Linked DNA regions of Oryctolagus cuniculus. The protein of the gene in region 1 interacts with the protein of each later gene in a biochemical or structural test. Links are inferred from orthologs where the notes say so. Each region holds a gene or a part of one and is shown in the gene's direction. Other genes may lie near its edges. The genes, in order: ATP7B and ATOX1.

What was found.
Region 2: the proteins of ATP7B (region 1) and ATOX1 form a complex in vitro, tested with the Homo sapiens proteins (3 studies listed by BioGRID and IntAct). The link is inferred for Oryctolagus cuniculus from reciprocal best matches to the Homo sapiens genes ATP7B and ATOX1.

What each region holds. Positions count from the first base shown.
Region 1 is NC_091440.1:71,320,499-71,324,302, reverse strand, and holds part of ATP7B (copper-transporting ATPase 2), read left to right. Parts: intron 1-1,010; coding exon 1,011-1,153; intron 1,154-2,493; coding exon 2,494-2,697; intron 2,698-2,780; coding exon 2,781-2,898; intron 2,899-3,804. UniProt on the Homo sapiens protein: Copper ion transmembrane transporter involved in the export of copper out of the cells. It is involved in copper homeostasis in the liver, where it ensures the efflux of copper from hepatocytes into the bile in response to copper overload.
Region 2 is NC_091437.1:38,728,211-38,732,492, reverse strand, and holds the start of ATOX1 (copper transport protein ATOX1), read left to right. Parts: upstream 1-1,349; 5' UTR 1,350-1,535; coding exon 1,536-1,541; intron 1,542-4,282. UniProt on the Homo sapiens protein: Binds and deliver cytosolic copper to the copper ATPase proteins. May be important in cellular antioxidant defense.

The sequences.
Region 1 (3,804 bases):
CACCTTTACATTTTTTTAAATAAATCTTCCTTTCTTGAGTTTTGGGCTGTTTTCCAGAAGGTGGTCCTGCCCTCTTTGTACTTCACTCAGTCTGAGGTCCTTTCTGTCTCCCCAGCTCCATCTTTCCACAGCCAGCTCTGCTCTGGCATTGGCCTTCTTACTCTTGGAATTGTAAATTCTCTTCACCATCATCCTTGCTTTTGTCCATGTTGGCAGTCCAGAGTCACCCTTCTCATTTCTGCAGACAAAATATGAATTCACTTCCCAGAAAGGTTAACCCCAGGTGCACATTAGCAGGAAGCTGGAATCGGGAGAGGAAGACTCTGACGTGGCACACGAGCATCCCCAGCGTCACTGCTGCTCCAGAGCCCACCTCTCATCTTCTTTACAGCCCTCTGAATTTTCCCAATTTCCTGCAAGGATCATGGTGCCTGACCTATAGCAAGAACTCAGTACATACTAGCTATTAAAATATGGGGAACAGGGGCTGGCATTGTGGCACAGAGGGTCAAGCTGCCACTTGCAGCATCAGCATCCCACGTGGAAGTGCCAGTTCGAGTGTGGGTTGCTCCTTTTCTGGTCTAGAAGGCCCAAGTGGCTGGGTCCCTGCCACCCACATGGGAGACCCAGAGTGAGATATGGGCTCCTGGCTTTAGCCTGGCCCGTCCCTGACCGTTGGGGGGCATTTGAGGAATGAACCAATGGGTGGAATATTTTGTGCTTTCTTTGTCTATCTGTCTCTCTCTCACTCTCTCTTTTTTTCCAAATATAAAATTATAAAATTTTGAAAGAAAAAGACAAAAATAATGACAATGGTTGTACCTCTCAGGGGGTTGCTGTGAATATTTTGATAGTCCTGCCATGCTTCTATGTGCATATGTAAATGTGCAAAATTTTTAAAAACAATTAAAACCAAATTATGGTGCATACACCTTGACGATCTGGATTTGTGTGTGACGACAGCTGTTCTGCACAGCTGTGTTCTCTCGCTCACTGGGGGTTTGCCGCAGGTGTGCTGTGCGGCATGATCGCCATCGCAGACTCTGTCAAGCCCGAGGCCGCCCTGGCCGTTCACACACTGAAAAGCATGGGCGTGGATGTGGTTCTGATCACGGGAGACAACCGGAAGACAGCCAGAGCCATTGCCACGCAGGTACAGCCCAGGGCTGGGGACCTCTTCCCCCTTTAAACTTACAGGCGGTGTTAAGCTCACAGAAGTAGTTCAGGGGGAAAAATAAACGCCAGTGCCTCAGGCCCTTGGCTGGGCGTCTGTTGTTTCCCCCTCACTGGTCTTTTCTCCCCATGCAGTGTCTCCCACGAGACTGCTGTGGTGCTGCTGCAAAGATCTTGTCACTGGGTCTGGGACCAGCATTTCTGGAAAGAGCGGTTCCAGTGTTCTCTAACCATTCCCCAAGAAGGTCCTGGCTTGAGGGCTACAACAGAAACTCTCTAACCTTCCTGCTAAGGGCCCGTCTTGTGGGCTCAGCTCTTCTCTGCTGTGTGCCGCAGGTGAATGAGTTGGTCCTGGGCGTTTCTCCTGCGCCCTTGATTGTGACAACAGCACTGCTGGGTAGCTACCTGCGAGCACTGGCGCCCCAGGGAATTCTTGAGACTCCACTGGCCCTGCCCTAATGTGTCCAGAGCTGTTTTTGAGTTAGGTGCTACTTCTGAGGGAAGCAGATTACTTCTGGTTTGCAGGCCCTGCTCACTACTGGTGAATTGAGTACGTTTCCCCCCTTTACCTGGTTAAAACGTGTTCCTCCATTCAACAAGCACAGGTGTGACAGGCACAGTGCCAGGCAGGAAGAGTGAAGAGGGGCCTGTCCTCAGGGGCTCATGGTCCTGCGCAGAGGGTGGGCTCAGGACCTGGTGTAGATCTGAGCCCCTCAGCTCCCAGGCTGGAGGGGCAGGGGATGTCCCTAGGGGAGGGAGGCTGGAGTCAAGAGTCAGTCAGATGAGGAAATTGGGGAGGAGTGGGAAGAAAGTTGAAGTTCCCAGGACAGCACAGGTGCAGGAGCATCCCCTGGGGATACGGAGAGGCAGGCGATCTGGAGAAGTCATGGGTTGCTGAATAACGCTGTGTCCAGTGTGGCACCAGCTGCAGGCTGCGGGACAGAGACCAGACACACAGGCATGTGGGAAGGCAAAGTCCTGAAGTTCAGAGACAGTCCTTGGGGGAGAGGGTGGGATCTGCCAGAGGACTTGAAGCAGGAGAGGAATGTGACCAGAGAAGGTAGGACAGCAGGTGGAGAAGAGGCCCGTCTCTGGACAGGGAGGCCAGCCAGGGGCCTGTTTGCTAAGCCAGGGCAGGGAGTTGGGGTGGGAGCAGGGCAGACATTTGCCCCGTGCCCTTAAATCTGTAGGACATGGTTGACAGGTATGAATGACCAGACCTGGAGGCTGAGGGGAGGCGGGGACCATCGTGACTCACGGGCTTCAGTTACTGTTCAGGATCTTCCGCCAACACCGAGTACTGTTTTCCTTTCCTTTCAGGTTGGCATCAACAAGGTCTTTGCGGAGGTGCTGCCTTCTCACAAGGTGGCCAAGGTCCAGGAGCTCCAGAACGAGGGGAAGAAGGTTGCCATGGTGGGAGACGGGGTCAACGACTCCCCGGCCTTGGCCCAGGCCGATGTGGGCATTGCCATCGGGACCGGCACTGATGTCGCCATCGAGGCTGCCGACGTCGTCCTCATCAGAGTGAGCTCTGCCACGTCCAGGTTGTGGGAGTGGTGAGGGCCTGGGGACAGGCCCCTCCCTCACCACTCACTCCTCTCCTGCAGAATGACTTGCTGGACGTGGTGGCCAGCATTCACCTTTCCAAGAGGACTGTCCGGAGGATACGAGTCAATCTGGTCCTGGCACTGATCTACAACCTGGTCGGGATACCCATCGCGGCAGGTAGTGGCAGCTCTCCCCAGCCATGTCACCTTTGACCCCAGCTAAGGCCAGAAAGGGTTCTCTTTGCTGAATCCCTACTAAAGTGAGTGAGGAGACCACCTCCCTGGCTGGCTGGCTGGCTGGCTGGAAGCATTTTATTTATTTCTATTTGAAAGGCAGAGTTGCAAAGAGAGAAGAGAGTAAGGGAAAGAGAGACAGAGAGATCTCCCGTCTATTGGTTCACTCCCCAAGTGGCTGTTTCAGCCGGGACTGAGCTAGGCCAAAGCCAGGAGCCTGGAACTCTGAGGCTTCCGTATGGGTGGCAGGGGCCCAAGTACTGGGGCTGTCACCTACTACTTTCCCAGGCACACTAGTAGGGAGCTGGATTTAAAGTGGAGTACCGGGCTGGTGCTGTGGTGTAACGGGTAAAGCCGCCTCCTGCGGTGCCAGCACCCATATGGGCGCTGGTTCAAGTCCCGGCTGCTCCACTTCTAATCCAGCTCTCTGCTATGGCCTGGGAAAGCAGTAGAAGATGGCCCAAGTCCTAGGGCCTCTGCACCCGCACAGGAGACCTGGAGGAAGCTCCTGGCTCCTGGCTTCGGATTGGCGTAGCTCTGGCCTTTGCAGCCAATTGGGGAGTGAACCAGCAGATGGAAGACCTCTCTCTATCTCTCTCTCTCTCATTGCCTCTGCTTCTCTCTGTGTGTAACTCTGACTTTCAAATAAGTAAATAAATCTTTTTAAAAAAGAAAAAAGAAAGTGGAGCAGCTGGGACTCACACTGGCACCCATATGGGATGCTAACCTCGCAGATAGTAGCTTAGCCCGCTATGCCATAACCCCGGCCCTCCGGAGCATTTTAGAAGGGTAGTTTGTTATATCCCCTGCTTCATACAAAAGGGCTTCAAAAGTTCATGGAAAACTGTGT
Region 2 (4,282 bases), on another chromosome or scaffold:
AAACGTATCTATTTCCTCAAACATTTATCATCTCTTATTTTGCAGACATTGTAAATGCTGTCTCCTGGGATCTTCTCTTTAAAGAATACACAGTATGTTAACACTATCTACAATCACCCCTGTGCAATAGAACACCAGACCGTCTTTCTCCTACCTATTACCTAGTCCCTGTTCATCAACTTAGCCCCTCCCCTTCTTCCCCATTACTCTCCCCAGTCTCTGGTAACCTCCATTTTGTTTTCAATTTCTATGAAATCAAGTTTTTCGGACCATGTGGGACTTATCTTCCTTATTCTACTTACTATAATAGCCTGGGGCTGGCATGGTGGCACAGTGGGTTAAGCTGCCGCTTATGATGTGTGTCACACTAGCATCCGGCTCCCTGTTAATGCACCTGGGAAGACAGCAGATGATGGCCCAATACTTGGGTCCCTGCCACCCATGTGGGAGGCCTGGATGGAGTTGCTGGCTCCTGGCTTCGGCCTGGCCCAGATCTAGCTATTCTGACCATCTGGAGAGTGAATCAGTGAATGGAAGATATTTCAACTTTTTTTTTTTTTTTTTTTTTTTAGAAGAACGTAACGTCCTCTAGTCATCCACATTTTCACAACTGACAGGAAGAAATCCCAGTGCTTCCTAAACTCACCAAGCAGTTCTGCTACTGAGAAACCTTTGAAAGTACTCCGACCGGCAGGGAATGTCCACACACATGACCACTGGCGGTGGTGCGTGAGAGAGCGAGAGCGAGAGAGACGCCAGAACTTGACGTGCCTAAGTTTCCCAGAGCAACCCTGCCTCCCCTCGTGGCAGTGGGTGCACCTCTTTGCCAGCTGGTTTCTCCGGGCGGGCCCACTCCTGCCTTCCGACTTGGGTGCGCGCTGTTCCCTGTGCCCAAAGCGCTCTCCCACTGTCCCCACCCCTGTCCCCACCAAGCAGCGCAGCTTCTCCCTCAGACGAGCCCTCCTCTCGGGAACCGCCGCCGCCACCTTCCAGCCCCACTTAGAGACCCCTCCTCCGCTCCTGAACCCCGGCGCCGCCACCACTGCCGCCTCCTCGCTCCCTTCGAGGCTGCGGACGCTCGGCGCCGCCAGGCGTCGGGGAGGGAAGGGCGGGACCCGCGCTGCCGGGCCTTTGCCTTGTGTTCCCAACATGGCCTAACATGGGCGCCCCCAAAATAGCTAACAGCCGACGGAGGAGGGAAGCCTCCCTCTCACCGCCTCTCGCCAACGTGCCCAGGTGTTCGTGTGTCTGGCGGCTCGGCGACCGCCAGGCCTGCAGGGGGCGGGGCCCGCCAGATGCCCGACCCGAGGGGCGGGGTCTGCTCGGCCGCCCCGCCGCCCTGCCGAGGGGAATAAGAAGGTGCCAGTCTTGCCAGTAGGCGGGGTTTCTCGCGCGCACTCCCGGAAACGCATTGGAGTCCCGCCTTGCAGCCCGGAGACGCGTTGCCGCCGCCGCTCCCCGCCGCCGTCGCCGCCGCCACCGCCACCGCCACCGCTACCGCCACCGCCACCGCCGCCGCGTCTGCTGCGCCTGTCATGCCGGTAAGTGGCCGCGCCGTCCCCGCCTGCGCTAGCCTGCGGTGCTCGGCTTGCGCCCCGGCCACACCGCCGCTCGGCCACTAGTCGCTTTTCCAGGGCTCAGGCCGCGGCTGGAGCTGTTAACTATCTCTCCTCCTCCTCCTCCCCAGCCGCCCCCAGGTTCGGGGACCCTCCAGAAAATCGCATCCGAAAAGAGTTAAATCTGGGCGCCTGGCTGCAGAACGTTGGAACTGCATGGCCTCGTGCAGCTACAAACGCAAACCTTCCCTGCAGCTCCGGGAAGTGGAGTCTCGGGGAGGGGACGGAGTGAGCCCGCGTGACCCAGGAGGGTCGGTGTCCAGCGGGAACGGCTGTTACACGTGGACGCCCTGCTCTGGCCGGGGAGTTGGCCGGGCCGTTCTGAGCAAGTGGGTGGGTCCAGCTGTTGCCTCACGGGCAGGACCGGGTTTACAGAAGTTCTGCACCTGGCCCGGCCTCCTCTCAGGTCAGCGCTGGGCGACCCTGCGTGGACACAGTGCGTTTCACCTTTCCAGCAGTCAGGTCCTCAGCCTGGACCCACCAGCCTCGGAGAGGTTTCAGGAACCTACCCAAAGTCGGCGCTGTACACGCTAGAGCTTGGGAAGGAATATGAGATATACGAACTCTACAGTTTGCACATGCCCATACTTGCTGGCTGGCTTTGCAGTTCACTTGGTCTTACATATATGCCTTATCTTTTAGATTTTAAATTTTAGTTAATGGTTTCCATGTTATTTGAAAGGGAGAGACAGTTGGCTCATTCACTCCCCCCCATACCCTCCACAGCCACGATTGGGCAAGGCGGCAGGCAGACACCTAGAACTCAGTCCCGATCCCACTGTTGTTGGGGGCCAGGATGCAGCCACTTGCGGCATCACCTGCTGCCTGCGGAAGTGCACAGTAGCAGAACACTGGGCTGGAAAGTGCAGCCAGGACTCACACACACCTGCGTGGGATGCAGGCATCCCAAGTAATATCTTAATCACTGCACCAGTTGCACCCTCCCTTCCCGCAATGTGGTGCCAGCATCGCATGGGGGTGCTGGTTCAAGTCCCGGCTGTTCCTCTTCCAATCCAGCTCTCTGTTATGGCCTGGGAAAGCAGCAGAGGATGGCCCCTGCACCCACATGGGAGACCCAGAAGAAGCTCCTGGCTTAGGAATGGTCCAACTGTGGCCGATCTTCCATCTGTCTCTCCCTCTGTCATTAACGCTACCTCTCAAATAAATGAAATTTTTTTTTTTTTTTTGACAGGCAGAGTGGACAGTGAGAGAGAGAGACAGAAAGGTCTTCCTTTACCGTTGGTTCACCCTCCAATGGCTGCCGTGGCCGGCGTGCTGCGGCCGGCGCATCACTCTGATCCGAAGGCAGGAGCCAGGTACTTATCCTGGTCTCCCATGGGGTGCAGGGCCCAAGGACTTGGGCCATCCTCCACTGCACTCCTGGGCCACAGCAGAGAGCTGGCCTGGAAGACGGGCAACTGGGACAGAATCCGGCGCCCTGACTGGGACTAGAACCCTGTGTGCCGGTGCTGCAGGCAGAGGATTAGCCTATTGAGCCGTGGCACCGGCTGAAATATTTTTCTAAAAAAAGTAAAAATGAGAAGCCTAATAACTTACTGAAGGTATTGGAGTTAGAGTCAAGATTAAGCCCCTTTGTCTTCAGGCTCATGGTGTCTCCTGGCCTGACCAGGTGGGACCTGATGAAGTCACAGCCACGTGGGAGGAAGTTTGTATCCTAGTTGCATTCTTGAGGTCCTGGTTGAGGTCCCAGCGTTCAGTGCTTGGCTCCAGGGTTTCAGGTTTCCTGGCTGTATACCAAGTGGGGACCCAGAGGGGTCCCGCTGAGCCCCTTTGTCTTAGCAGCCTGGCTCTTTGGGAGCTTGCAGATGAGCCTGAGGCCCCCTGAGCAGAGCTGTAAACATCTCAGATGTCATTTCCCTGTGGTCCTGAGCCAGCACTTAATGTGGACAAAGAATGAGCCAGTACCAGTTGAGCAGGTCTACTTGCGGCAGTGGTTGAGGTCAGCATTACTCAGCCTGGGCCTGGGAGAGGGCACGCCGCCAGGTGGATTGTGAGGGGTTGCAGTGGAGGAGAAGGCCAGTTTGAGGGTCAGTCTGTTTCAAGTCTCCTTCCAGGGCTTGTGACAAAGGACCCTCTTCATCACAAAACCCGACAGGCTCCATATCACAAGATGAACAGCTGAAGGGAATAAGGGTTTTGAGGGACTGCCTCTCAACTGTAGGGAGAAGAGTGTGTTACCTGAGAGGTGGTTGTTTTTGTTGTTGAAAAGTCATGAAACTACTTCAAGGAGTCACAGGTGTTTAACTGGAAGAAAAGAAAAATTATTTTTTTTAAAGATTTATTCATTTTACTTGAAAGTCAGAGTTACACAGAGAGAGAAGGAGAGGCAGAGAGAGTGGTCTTCCGTCCGTTGATTCACTCCCCGACTGGCCGCACAACTACGCTGAACCGAAGCCAGGAGCCAGGAGCTTCCTCCAGATCTCCCACGTGGGTGCAGAGGCCCAAGGACTTGGGCCATCTTCCAGTGCTTCCCCAGGCCATAGCAGAGAGCTGGATCAGAAGTGGAGCAGCAGGATCTCGAAGTGGTGCCCATATGGGCCTCCGGCACTGCAGGTGGTGGCTTTACCTGCTACGCCACAGATTCAGCCCCAAAACTGACTATAATTTAAGGTGGGTTTTGCTTTGGCTGCAGTAGAAGAAGCCAC